Coturnix japonica: one gene and its partner. The protein of the gene in region 1 interacts with the protein of each later gene in a biochemical or structural test. Links are inferred from orthologs where the notes say so. Each region holds a gene or a part of one and is shown in the gene's direction. Other genes may lie near its edges.

What was found. The genes of interacting proteins can lie anywhere in the genome.
Region 2: the proteins of FCHO2 (region 1) and DAB2 form a complex in vitro, tested with the Homo sapiens proteins (2 studies listed by BioGRID). The link is inferred for Coturnix japonica from reciprocal best matches to the Homo sapiens genes FCHO2 and DAB2.

Annotation. Positions count from the first base shown.
Region 1 is NC_029547.1:22,818,456-22,825,264, reverse strand, and holds the start of FCHO2 (F-BAR domain only protein 2), read left to right. Parts: upstream 1-2,332; coding exon 2,333-2,365; coding exon of another isoform or gene 2,366-2,658; exon of another isoform or gene 2,659-2,996; intron 2,997-6,809. Other genes in the region: serine/arginine repetitive matrix protein 1-like, read right to left, coding at 1,926-1,965, 2,153-2,658. UniProt on the Homo sapiens protein: Functions in an early step of clathrin-mediated endocytosis. Has both a membrane binding/bending activity and the ability to recruit proteins essential to the formation of functional clathrin-coated pits.
Region 2 is NC_029547.1:11,302,681-11,308,891, reverse strand, and holds part of DAB2 (disabled homolog 2), read left to right. Parts: intron 1-486; coding exon 487-573; intron 574-797; coding exon 798-821; intron 822-1,080; coding exon 1,081-1,128; intron 1,129-1,299; coding exon 1,300-1,362; intron 1,363-2,382; coding exon 2,383-3,021; intron 3,022-3,858; coding exon 3,859-4,012; intron 4,013-4,518; coding exon 4,519-5,034; intron 5,035-5,281; coding exon 5,282-5,373; intron 5,374-6,211. UniProt on the Homo sapiens protein: Adapter protein that functions as a clathrin-associated sorting protein (CLASP) required for clathrin-mediated endocytosis of selected cargo proteins.

The DNA of each region.
Region 1 (6,809 bases):
TCTTGTCGTAATAAATGTGATTATCTACAGCTGCGCATGCACAACTCTTCTTAAGTTCAGAAATAATAGAAATTCCACTCTGCCCAGAACTGGAATCTGTGCCATTATCTCACCTGTGATCGCTCATTTCATTGCAGTTTTTGTACTAAAAATAATAATAATAATAATAATAATAACAAAAAACAAAAAACCAAACCCATGCTGCAATATGTCTCCAGCAGTTAGGTCATAAGCAAGTGAATTATTAAGCTACCAGGTAGTGTCTGCAGCCAGGCAGGTACAACTGTGTGGCTAGAATACAGTCCTGCTGATTTTAAAGCCCCACAACATAACTTAATTCTTACCACAGTTAAATGATCCATGAGACTCCTAGCAATTCACTTTCTTCCTCTTTCCTTGTCTGTTGTTCTCTGCTAGGGTGGTAAAAAAGGGGGTATACCCAATAACGGTGTGTGGTTATTCTGGTTGGAATTCATAATTGATTTTCAAATGGTTAAAACATGAAGCAAATTAGCTTAGCTTCCATGGTAGAATGCAATACCTAACTTTTGTTTTTCAGTTATATTCAGACCTGTAGTCTAGATGCATTGTACCTTTGGTATTGTAACTTGAAAGTTCTTCCAGTAAGTCTTAGCTAATATAGTGTGTTGCCCTTCTCTGAACATGCTCCAAGGCCTCCATGTCTTGTAGTGAGGGGCACAAAACTGAACATAGTACTCGAGGTGCGGCCTCACTGAGTGCAGAGGGATGAACACTTCTCTGCTTCTGCTGGCAACACTATTTTTGATACAATTCAGGATGCCATTGGCCCTCTTGGCCACCTGGGCATGCTGCTGACTCGTGTTCTGCCGAGCATCAACCAACACCCCCAGGTGCATTTTTCAGCACAGTCTCCCAGTCGTTCTGCCTCAAGCCTGCAGCATTGCTGGGCTTTGCTATGCCCAGAGTGTGGGACCTGGCACTTGGTCTTGCTGAACTTCATCCCATTGGCCTCAGTCTAGTGATCCATCCCCATCGTGGGCTGCCTTGTAGCCAAGAAATCTGCTTGCCTCTTCATGTTTCTACTGTGAGGCACATGGTTATGGTACTCCAAGTTTATGTAGATGACATAGATGAGAGAGAAAGTGCTTTTTATACTCTGAAGTATAAATGCATTACAGAATCACAGAATCACAGAATGACCCGGGTTGGAAGGGACCTCAAGGATCATGTAGTTCCAACCCCCCTGCCTGGCAGGGCCACCAAACATACACCTTTACTAGATCAGGTTGCCCAGGGCCCCGTCCAACCTGGTCTTGAACACCTCCAAGGACGGGGCATCCACAACCTCCCTGGGCAGCCTGTTCCAGGGCCTAACCACTCTCCTAGTGAAGAACTTCCCCCTAACATCCAACCTAAATCTTCCCTCTTTTAACTTAAAACCATTTCCCCATGTCCTGCTATTGTCAGCCCTTTAGAAGCGTTTACTCCCCTCCTGGGAGTAAGTTCCCTTCAGGTATTGAAAGGCTGCAATGAGGTCACCCCGCAACCTTCTCTTCTCTAGGCTGAACAAACCCAACTCCCTCAGCCTGTCCTCATAGGGGAGGTGCTCCAGCCCCCTGATCATTTTCGTGTCCCTCCTCTGGACCCTTTCCAAAATCTCCATGTCTTTCTGGTACTGAGGGCTCCACACCTGGACACAGTACTCCAGATGGGGCCTCACAAGAGCCGAGTAGAGAGGGACAATCACCTCCCTATCCCTGCATTTATAATATTAATCCAGGAAATTACTTGAATCTTCCATGAGAGCTTGTGCTGGCACGCAGTGGGGATATTTGTTTTATTCTGAAACACTCACATATAGTCACAGCTATCAGAATAGCATTCCTTTCTGTCCACTCCCATTAGGCTATAGGAACAAAGAAACAATTGTACCGGGACAGCAGCTAACCAAGCCAGCATCCTTCTGTAGCAACCACTGTAAACCTAGGGAAGAGATAAGAACTGTAAGCAATATTTTTGCAAAGCTTTTATGTGCTTTCAGTGTCAGCATTAGGTCCTGCAGTCAGCACCCTGCTATGGATCTCTCAGAGAAACACCGCCCTCCACGCCTCACGTTACTCAGCCCGACCCTTACCCAGCACCGCATTCTACACATGCGCACGCTACGCACCGTACCCGTCCCGGGCTCTGACGGCCCATCCGGCCGCGCGTTGGGCGGAGCCGCCGTGTGGAGGGAGGCGGTGCGCCGTGACGGGAAGGGCGGCGCGTGGCGGCGGCGGCTGCTTCCTCCGTCGCGTCTCGGCGGTTGGGGCCGGGCCGGGCGAGCTGGGGCCGGGGCGGCGACGGCGGGATGATGATGGCGTACTTCGTGGAGAGCTTCTGGGTAGGGCAGCGCCGACAAGCGTTACCGCGGCGAAGCGGGTGGGAGAGCACGGCTACGGTGGGAGGCGGGCGGGGTGTGTGCTGCCGCGGCGGGCTGGGCTGCGGGGCTGCCCCGGGGACGGTGGTCGGGCCTGGAGAGCGGGCCGGGCCGAGCCGAGCCGTGCTGTGCTGTACCGAGCCGTGCCGAGCTCCTTCTCGGGGGCTGCCAGGTGGGGCCGTACGGGAGACCCCAGGCGGCGGCCCCGGCTCCAATGTCCGTCCTCGCCGTTGGTTCCGGACAATACGCGCCTTCATCCGCCTGCTGCCTTTGTACCGGCGTGTCCGGAGGGACGGCGGGCAGCGGGCGGCCCTGCGTGTGACGCCGTTTGTCACTTACTCCGTCTGTGTAGTCAGGGCTGTGGGGGCGCTTCCGTGGGGAAAACGCGGAGATAAACGTTAAGGGATGAATTGGGATTGTTGCCGAGCCTTCCTTCGGAGCTCGGTCAACCCGAATCCCTCGTGGAACGGGTCTGAAACATCGCAGCCGCCGTTCTCGTAAGCCCACAACCCGGTGCTGCTGCTGCTCCGCGGTGCGTAGGATTTTACCGTGCGTCTCTGCTGACGGGTGGGGGAAACGTCACAGCAAATATTTGTCGAGACAAAAAAAAAAAAAAAAGAAAAATCTCGTAGATCCATCTGGTTCTGCATAAATAATGGTTATTCTTAGTGTTTGGAGAGTGTTGACTTCACAGAGTGTGCGCTGCGAGGAAATAAAGCAGAGCTGCAGCCTGGCCTCGTGTTTTGTTTGTAGAGTTGTTTAATTCCGACTCTCCAGTTTTGTTTTGGGTGAGGTATTAAAATTCTATGAAAGGATCCACCATGTGCTCCCTCGGTATACGAGCCTGCTAGGTTTTGGTGTGTGAGTTCTGGTGTGGAAGATGAATAGGAAACAAATATGTGGCTTGTTTCCATCTTGGGCAAAAGTAATATTCAAGTTAGTGTAAAAAGTCAGCTTTTCAGATGAAAAGAGAATAAACCACGCATTTATATTCTGTTCTCTCCGCTGAAATAAAGTTTATGCCATGAATTTCAGGTTTTTAATCTTTGAACTGTTTCATTGGCAATGGCTCAGTTGGGCAGTAAGCAGTTGTGTTAAACCAGTGAAGATGGTGCCATTCCCATACATACGTATTTCTGTGTTCTTCGTACCTTTGCAAATGCTGCCAGCAAATTCAAGGCAGGTGACATCTGCTCAAAGTTTCCCCTTGTCTGTCTGCCTTATGAAGCCTCTGTCTATCTTTTTGGAATGGGTTATTGTTCGGAATTGTTACTGCAGTGTTTTGGAAGATCTTTAGCATGATCTGAGTGTGTTTTAACATGGTGAAAAGGTTGGACATGGAAAGGAAGAGATGTTAAATTGCACTGAGTGGACAGTGACAAAATACAACAGAGAAGAATCCATAAATACAAAGAGTTCTACATTGAACTCTGGAAGAACTGTCATCAGGCTTTTGGTTTTTCCTTGGCCTTCTAGGTAATGCCATGTAAACTATTTTACTTTCTTTTTTGCTGGTTTGGTCACCGATGTAGTGGAATATTATGTTTCCTAAAGCACTGATGTGAAGTACATCCAAAGCATTGTAGGATCGTAGATTCAATAAGGGTGGGAAAGACCACTGAGGTTGTCCACCAACTCATCCCTACCATGTCTGTCAGTGCTACATCTGCACAATCCTTGCATGCCCGGGGCAGCCTGTTGGAATGCTTTGCCACTCTGAGGAGAAGTTTATTCTTAATATCCAACCTGAACCTCACCTGGCTCAACTTGAGGCCATTTCCTCTAGTGCTATTGCTAGTTGCACAGGAGAACATTCCAACCCCCACATCACCACAACCCATCGGCTTAGACAGCAATAAGATCTCCTGTCAGCCGCCTCCAGACTGAACAATCCTGGTTCCCTCAGCTGTTCCTCATAACACTTGTGCTCCAAACCCCTCACCAGCTTCATTGCCCTTCACTGGTCACACTCCAGGGCCTGAACATGTTCTTGTAGTGAGGGGCCCAAAACTGAACACGGTGCTTGAGTTGTGTCCTCACCAGAACTGAGTATGGAGGGAAATTCTTAATTATATAATGCACGCGTTGTCAGCAGTTCACAGATGAAATGGTACAATAAGAAATGGAGATCTGGGTCTTGTGCTTTGGAAAGCTCTCTCTGTTTCTTTAAGTTTTTGATAGATATAGACAAAGGAAACCTGAAGTGATTTATTTGAAAAACTGGAGTGCTGTGTGAATGTGTATGTTTCTTGCACAGTGTTTAGCTGCTGTCTTATAAGAATTCGCTACAAATGTGCTCATTTAAACTAAAAACAAAAAACAAAACAATATATTTACTGTAAAGGAAGGTTATCATTGGACTTCCATGCTTCTCTGCCCACAGCACAAGGTTGGAACAAGATGATACTCCAAGGTCCCTTCCAACCCAAGCCTTTCTAGGACTTGCATGTGTGCACTACTTTTAAAAGCAGATGAGTAGATGTAATTTTATTTTTAGCAGAAAACATGAGGAAAATGTGTTTTCTCTGTGGTGTTTTTGGGCCTGTCGCTTGCTGGCTGCAGGTGACTGCTGGTCATTGGGAGGTGATTTTGGTCATTGAGAGGGACTTGATGATCTTCAAGGCCTTTTCCAACCTGGGTAATTCTATGATTCTGTGGTTGTCAGGATGTGGGGCTCAGAGGCCTGTACTGTTGCTGTAAGGGCTGTGTGTGCAGAGTGCTGCACACTGCGTTTTTCAGGTCAGTTTGGTTCAGTTTGAGGGATTGGGAAGGCTAATTTGTTTGTGGTATCAGAAATTATAAATGAGTAGTACGGGCTATAAATGGCTTCAATTCTTATGACTGAGTTTCAGGCATTCAAGTCACATGGCCAAACATTCCCAGCTCCTAATTAGGATGTTGTCATAAAACGTTGGGTGCTTGCTGCTGAGTATGTGCTGTATCAAAACAGTGCTGTAACATGGAGGGAATCCTGCAATATTTCCATTATGAATAACTAGGTTTTGTCACTTTGAATACCCTTAAATGCTGGTATCAGAGAACAAAAGGCATTTGTTAGAACTGAACTGCTGTTTTCTTAGCACGATGTAGGAAGTGAAGCACGAGCTTCAACGTAAGTTTGATTTTAAGTCACCTGATGCAGACTGTACTCTTACTAATGGTGAGACTATTAAACCATTTCAGGTTAACCAAAATAAGCCATATCTAAGCCAGTCATACATATCCACTAATTGCTTTAAATTGATTAAACTTTTAGAAGCTTTATGTGCAGCTGAAGCTGGTCTCCATGTAATGCTGTGCATGTTCAATTTTCAGGAAGCTTTGTGGCACAAAAATACATGTTAAAATTGGCTTTGACATTCTCCTTATGGTACTTTTTTCAATTGCCTGTGTTACCCACAGCTTCTGAGAGTGAATGTGAGGGGGAAATTTCCTTTTTTTTTTTTTTTTTTTTTTTTTTTTTTTAATTTTTTTTTCTCTTTTTCTCAGGATTCTTGCAGTGTGTGAGGGCTGGCTGCATGCAGGATTAGTGATCTCAGCTTTGTGAAGGGTGTTGCTCTAATAAAAGTAGGATGTATTTTCTTGTGCACCTACAGGCTGTGATTGATACCGAGACTTGTCGAGCTTCCATCCACAGTCCCATTCACATGTTTGTGCTTGGCTTGCAGTTGGATGCTCAGTTTTCGGGAGCGTGGCTGTGCGGTATTGGTGCAGTCTCCTCCCTCTCTGTATATTTAGCATGAGTTGGCAGTTCTCTGTTTTTTTGTCCTGGAAGTATTTTTAATTACCCCTGTCATATGCTGAGAGCTTTCCTGGAGCTGGTTTTCATGTGATTTACTGAAACTAGAAGAATGGAATTGCAATTGCCAGGTCGCTTTGGTGTTCAAACTTCTCAGAACGTTTCCTGCTGAGGAACATAGGCCACCTGTATCAACACTAGGTGACCAGCTTTGGGTGTTTCAATGCGCTTGATTCTGTGTAGCTCTGTCAGACACTCAGTAGCTAGCTGTCAGAAGTGTAACACCATCACCGTAGTCACAGGAATATTTTTGTGTATACTAAGTATTTGCCTGAATGGAATGTGTGAAACATGTTAATTATTTGAAGCTGCACCCGGGTAACTGCTAAAAGAAAAAGTATCAGAGCATCTAAACTTAGTTTAAATTTACGTGGAGTTGGGTTGCTTTATTGTGTTGCTCTGTTTCTTTAGAGTTCCACACTTTCATTAGTGAATGAAGTCAACAGTATAAATGGACAAGCCATAACAAATAGTGTATATCTAAGCTGATGGACAAAGAGCAGGGCTTTTTGTTGTTAGTATTTGGAATTTTCAAATTAGGATTAGAGCAATGAACAGTCTCTGTTTATTTTTTATTATTATTATTTTTTGCAATAAAATATGCAAATT
Region 2 (6,211 bases), about 12 Mb from region 1:
ATTCACACTGAATTTCCATTCAGCTGCAGATGTCAACTCTAAGTGTCACCTGATGTTTGTTCCACACACTAGATTGATCCAATTAAAATAAATATAATATTAAAGAAGCTTTTTCCAGGTTCATCGTTGAAGTTGGTACATTGTTAGCTTCTTGTGAAGATACCAGAGTTTCAATACCCTGTATGTTTCTGAGGAAATATTTAAGGCCTGCCATGTACTTATGAAATGATGACCTCTAGGGGAGAAAAAAGTCAGCTTAATACAGACACCGTCACTTTCCCCAGGGAGTTAACCATCCTGGGCTGATGGTATGCTGTCACCCCAGAAATCTATGTAATAGAACTTAGACCAGGCAGTCTTTGAAGTCTTGCTTTTCCTGGTATCTCAACTATACTATTGCATCACTTAGGAAAGTTTGACTTGCAGTTTTCTGGGCTTCTACTGAAGCTGAAAACAAACTAATTTGTGGTCTAAATTTTTTTTCAGGCTGAGCCTCTAGTTGTTGATCTTAAGGACCTCTTCCAACTAATATATAACATGAAGAAGAAGGAAGAAGAAGAAGACAAGAAAAAGGCAAGTAAAATTACAGCTGCAACAGTCTGCATAGACTTAAGTTTTGTTTTAGTTTTGTCTGGGCTTCTAGACCACTGTGAGATTTGAAAGTGTCATGGCACAGTATTGGCTAGCAGTTGTGCCAGCAGTTTCATTACTAGATTTAGGAGGTAAACTAACTAAAGCCTCTTGCATTCATTATTCTACCCAATGTGTAGATACTAAAAGTTTGTTTTCTTCTTTAGAATGAAGAAGCAAACAAGACTCAGGTAAGTCACTCTAATTCATCACTTGATCAGTATTCTGCTGTGATAGAACTAGCTCTGTCTTTCCTTATACTGCTAGCATATGGTGGAATCATGAGATGCTTGTTACACTGGAAATTGAGACAAATGTGTCTACAGAACTAATAGTAGTGATCTCCCATACTTTCTCTTTTATATCATTTGCTTGCTCAAGCATGTGAGTTCATTGTTTAAGGGAGGTTTTGTTATTCTTATCACTGACACTGTTGTCCATCTATTCCAGAATGGTAGTGAGGCACTACCTGCTGGTCAAGCTGACAAATTGAAAATGGTAGGTTCAATTTTAGAACTTTATCCTGATGTCATTAAAGTTCATAGTAGACTATCTCCATGTGATACAGGAAATACAAGTTTTATATATGTTCAGTAGGAATGTGTAATACTTGGATTTTGCTTTCGCAACAACTCTGACACCAATTTTTTCAATACTTTTGGCTTCAAGGGAGTTGACCAGATGGACTTGTTTGGGGATATGTCAACACCTCCTGATGTGAGCAGTCCCACAGTAAGTAGACTTCTGCTTTACTTATCTCACTTCTATGTTCAAGAGCAAACTTTTTCTGAGTAGTAAGATCTATTCTGTTCTGGTTTTACAGAAGCTTCTTCCTTATTATAGAAACATACTGGAAACTTAGAGCTATGATAGTAGGAACTTACTAAATAGACTAGCTAATATTCTTATCCAGCAGTATTCACTATGGACAGTGTGTGACAGAGACTGTGTGACAGAGATATTATATACTGTTATGTTGTTAGCCATAGGCCAAATAAATATGTACTAGTAGCATATACCTGTGCTGTAAGTAGCAAGATAGGAACTCAGTTAACAATCTTTAAAGTTGAAGCTTATTTTATGGATGAGTAAGTAAGTTCCAAGTAGACTTGTAGCTATTACAAATGTAAGCTAGGTCCATAAAATAGGGCCTAACTTCATTGAAGTATGCATTTACCTTGTAACAACTCATTGTGACTTCAAAACTGTACTAGTTTGCTCTGGAATAAAAAGCTATAAGCAGTCATGCAACAATTGATGTTGCAATAGATGTCAACAGAGCTAGTGACTAGTCTTACTCTTCTGTCACCTGCTTTGGTGGATAGTGTGTTAACCTTCTCCACCTGCAGATTGCTTTGTAATCTTACTCCAAAGCTGAGATTGCAACTTGGAATCACTCTAAAGCAACATGATTTTACAATTGTTTTAAAAAAGGACTAAAACCCAGGCTGTCACTGGAGTCAAGCTCACCTGGGTGTAATTAGTGCAAATGACTAAAACTTCTCTTAAGTCCAGTTAAATGAAGAGATCTTGAAACTGGTGTTTTCAACAGTGAATGTTTTGAACTAAGTAGCTGAGACTTGATTACAGCTACCAGGCTTACAAAATGGGACCATAATTTGACACCAAATACGTATTAGTACGATGTGCTGGATACCAGATCTCTCCTTTTCTAGAAGTTTTCCTTAAGCTTGTGTACTTTGCAGTAGGTCATACAGAAAACTAACTTTACTTTTCTTTCTGAACAAATAGGAAGCTAAAGAGATTCTCTTAGTGGATCTAAACTCAGAAATTGAGACCAAACAGACTTTTGTAAAAGAGGATCTCTTCTTGAATGGCATCACACCTTCTCTTCCGCAACCAACGCCACGGCCACCTCTCTTCTTGCCAGAGGGTTCTTTCTCTACCAATCTCAGCTTCTTTCCCACACCTAATCCAGACCCTTTCAGTGATGATCCTTTTGCACAACCAGACCAATCTGCACCACCTTCATTTGATTCTCTAAAATCTGCTGATCAGAAGAAGGAAAATCTGAGTACCTTAACATCGGTGGGTAATGGTGCTTCAAATGGTGATGTTGACTACTTTGGTAAACAGTTTGACCAGATATCTAATAGAGTTGGCAGACGAGAAGCACAGACAAGCCAGTGGCCATTTGACAGTAAGCCACCCGCAGCAAGAACTCCAAATGGGGTACCAGAGAGAGAACAGAATGGCTTTCTTAAAGCTCCATCAAACCTCTTTGTGGAAGATCCTTCCAAAGGAGTAACTCTGCAAAATGGAGTAAAGCTGGATTCTGAAAACAATATCCAGCTCTTGTCACACGAATCTATTACAATTAGCCCACCACCACAAAGTAACAAGCCAGGAAGAGGAAGGAGGTCTGTCAAGGTGAACAATGTTCCAGTAATTAATGGTGATATGCATGCTCTTACTTAGAGAATCTGGGTGAAGGAAGCTTTACTTTCTTCATTCTACGTAACTGACTAAAGAGCTCCACAGCATATCTCTTCCACCTGCCATGCTTACTCTAACCTCTCTGCAGTCATGGTAAATCCTAACACTCATGAATGCTCCATAGTAGCTATGATTACTAAACATATGTTCTTTTCCTTAATGCTGCCATACTTCTGTAAAGGTCTGGTAAGTATACTACCGTGAAATACTGATGCTAGGTACAATGCCAGTAGCTGTTATGATAGCTATGATAAATACACATCACCTTGTGGCTTCTTAACAATGAGTTACCAATACTAGTTTACAGAATTTGAAGTGGCTTCACTGTACCTGCCTACGGAGGGCAATCTCAATGACTGGCCTGGTCATACACAGGGTGGCTCTGGGTTAATCTCTTGCAGTCAAGTGATGCAGAACTCCGTTGATGACCTTGTCATAACTTCAGAGGTCATTATAGTCTGGGCAGGAGTATTTATTTGTGAGAAGAGGAATCTCATTAGGATAACAAGCAATTCAGTTATTCCAAGTCTTGCTCTTCTGCTGTTGACCTGGAATTACTATATATTATACAATGCCAAGTTTATCAGTAGGCATAAACTGGTGAAGTTTGAATCACTTATACAGAGTACCTACAGAATACAATAAAGCTTCATGCTCTGCTATAGCTAAACTAACAGCTTGTAGCTCCAGACTAAGACTTCTTAACCATGTTAGTTTATATTCTGCTATGTCATTTCACAACAAGTTTGGTTGTTTTTTTTTTCTTTCTAGGCTGCCTCAAGTGACTTGTTTAGCTCAGACTTTTTTGCACCAACTACAGAGAACCTTGGTGTAAATTCATCAGCACAGACAGGACTGGTGCAAACTAATCGACTGGACCTCTTCAAAACAAATCCTACCACAGCCCCTCCATTAGCTGGCCTAGGTTAGTTCACAACCTATATCTTAAATTCAAACTATTACTCCAATCTAAACCCACCATGGATGCTCTAATTACCTTTTGCTTAATCCGTGTGCTGTCCATCATAAACTATTAAATTCTGTGAATTGGGGACCTAAATTCTGCATCTTCAACTAGAGCAGGGCTTTTTGCTTAAACTTTGACAACAAATCCAGGTTGTACCAGGACGCTAATGTGCGTGTCACAGCTTGAGAAGCTAGGGTACCACTGTTGCAGGATCTTAACTACTTACATGGAAGTAACTATCAACCTCATTTCTGTTCTTTAAGGACTGACATGAAGTGAAGGAAACAATACTAAACCCTTTTTCAAAGGCTACCTTCCTCAGTGGCATTACGTTAAGCGTAAATCAGTGGATTTTTACAAACAGCACATGAAGAATGCCTTTCTGTTATCAACAATGGAATTGGTGCACTTATTCTTGATCTTGACATCACTGAAGCACTGTGTAACAATCATGTTCCCCACAGGTGGCTTGCCATCATCATGGAGTACAGAGATGCCTGCCTTCACCCAGGCCACATCGGTCTTTCCTGGGTCTATGATGCCTACCCAGTCTGCAGGATTTACTCAACAACTTAGCTTTGGCCCTCAAGCAGTGACAAGCTGGAGTCAGCCTGGATCTTTTGGTCCAACAGCATCTCAGTCCTCTGGTATCTGGGTCCAGCCAGCACAAGTTCCACCTGCTCGATGGGTACAGCCATCCAGCACTGTAAATCCCTTCCAGAGTAATGTGTTTGCATCTTCAATGCTACCCACTCAGACAGAGTCTGTATTGCCCTCTGCGCCAACAACAAGCCCACCTCAGCCACCACCTAGAACTGCACTTCAGAAGGAGCTATCCAAGAAAGAAAGTGATGCTTTTATTGCTCTGGATCCACTTGGGGATAGAGAGATGAAAGACGTCAAGGAAATGTTCAAAGATTTCCAGCTGACAAAGCCACCTGCAGTACCAGCAAGGAGAGGAGAGCAGCAAAGTCTTTCAGGTGCCTCCAGAGCTTTCAGCATTTTTTTTTTTTATTAAAGTACCCATTCCTCAAGATAGTACAGGTCATAGGGATGTGAAACTTAGCAAGCTGTCCAAAAAGACTGGTAAAATTTTTCTTGTATTTGAATAGCCACTTGCTTATTCATTTTGAATATAATTGGTTGAACTTTAAGGTCAGTATGCTGATAGTGCTTAGCACACATAAAAGCTGTTTAGTGATATAACAGAATGTCTCTTCTTCCTAGAACCACTGAAGCCTGTTCCCAGACAAAGTGCACTACCGATTGATGTCCTGTTTGAAAGCCAACCTAAACCAGACCTTTTCAGTGCCTCCTCTGTAAGTAATAGATGTTTTCTCTATGACTGTTACAGCACCCCACCAATAGCAATATTTGTGTTGATGCAGTGGCTTTAGAGAACGTGGGGAAAAAACAGTCTTGCATACTTGATCTAACTAAACACTTGTTGCAAGAAAGCTAACAAAGCGTTATTCCATTTGGTTTAATTCTAAAACCAGTGCTCCAAGCTGTAAAGCCTCTCTACAAGTACTTTGTTTCTATATGTGGGAAGTTTCTACAAAGGACTGTGAAGTAATGGAGAAGCGGAAGACTTCTGCAGCTATGCTTACTTCTCTGCAGAGTACATAGAGCAGTGTTGACTGTGCAGGTCTTTTGCTGAACAAATACTAGACCCTATGTCCAGTATCCTCTTGGGGGAGGAAGTGGTCTATGGAGACCTCATTGTGGTCTTCTAGAAGGGAGGGAGCCTATAAACAGGGAACCTATAAACAGGATGGAGAATGACTGTTTACATGGGTTGATAGCGATAGGACAAGGGGGAATGGTTTTAAACTGAGACAGGGGAGGTTTGGGTTAGATATTAGGAGGAAGTTTTTTAACCAGAGCTGGTGATGCACTGGAACAGGTCACCCAAGGAGGTTATGGATATCCCATCGCTGGAGGCATTCAAGGCCAGGTTGGACATGGCTCTGGGCAGCCTTGTCTGGTGGTTGGAAACCCTGCACATAGCAGGGGTGGTTGAAACTAGATGAGCATTGTGGTCCTTTTCAACCTGGGCCATTCTATGATGATTCTATGATTCATTATAGATACACTAACTTGTCTCCAAATACACATGGCTTTTCCAAAGGATACCTTACCTCAAACTAATGTGAG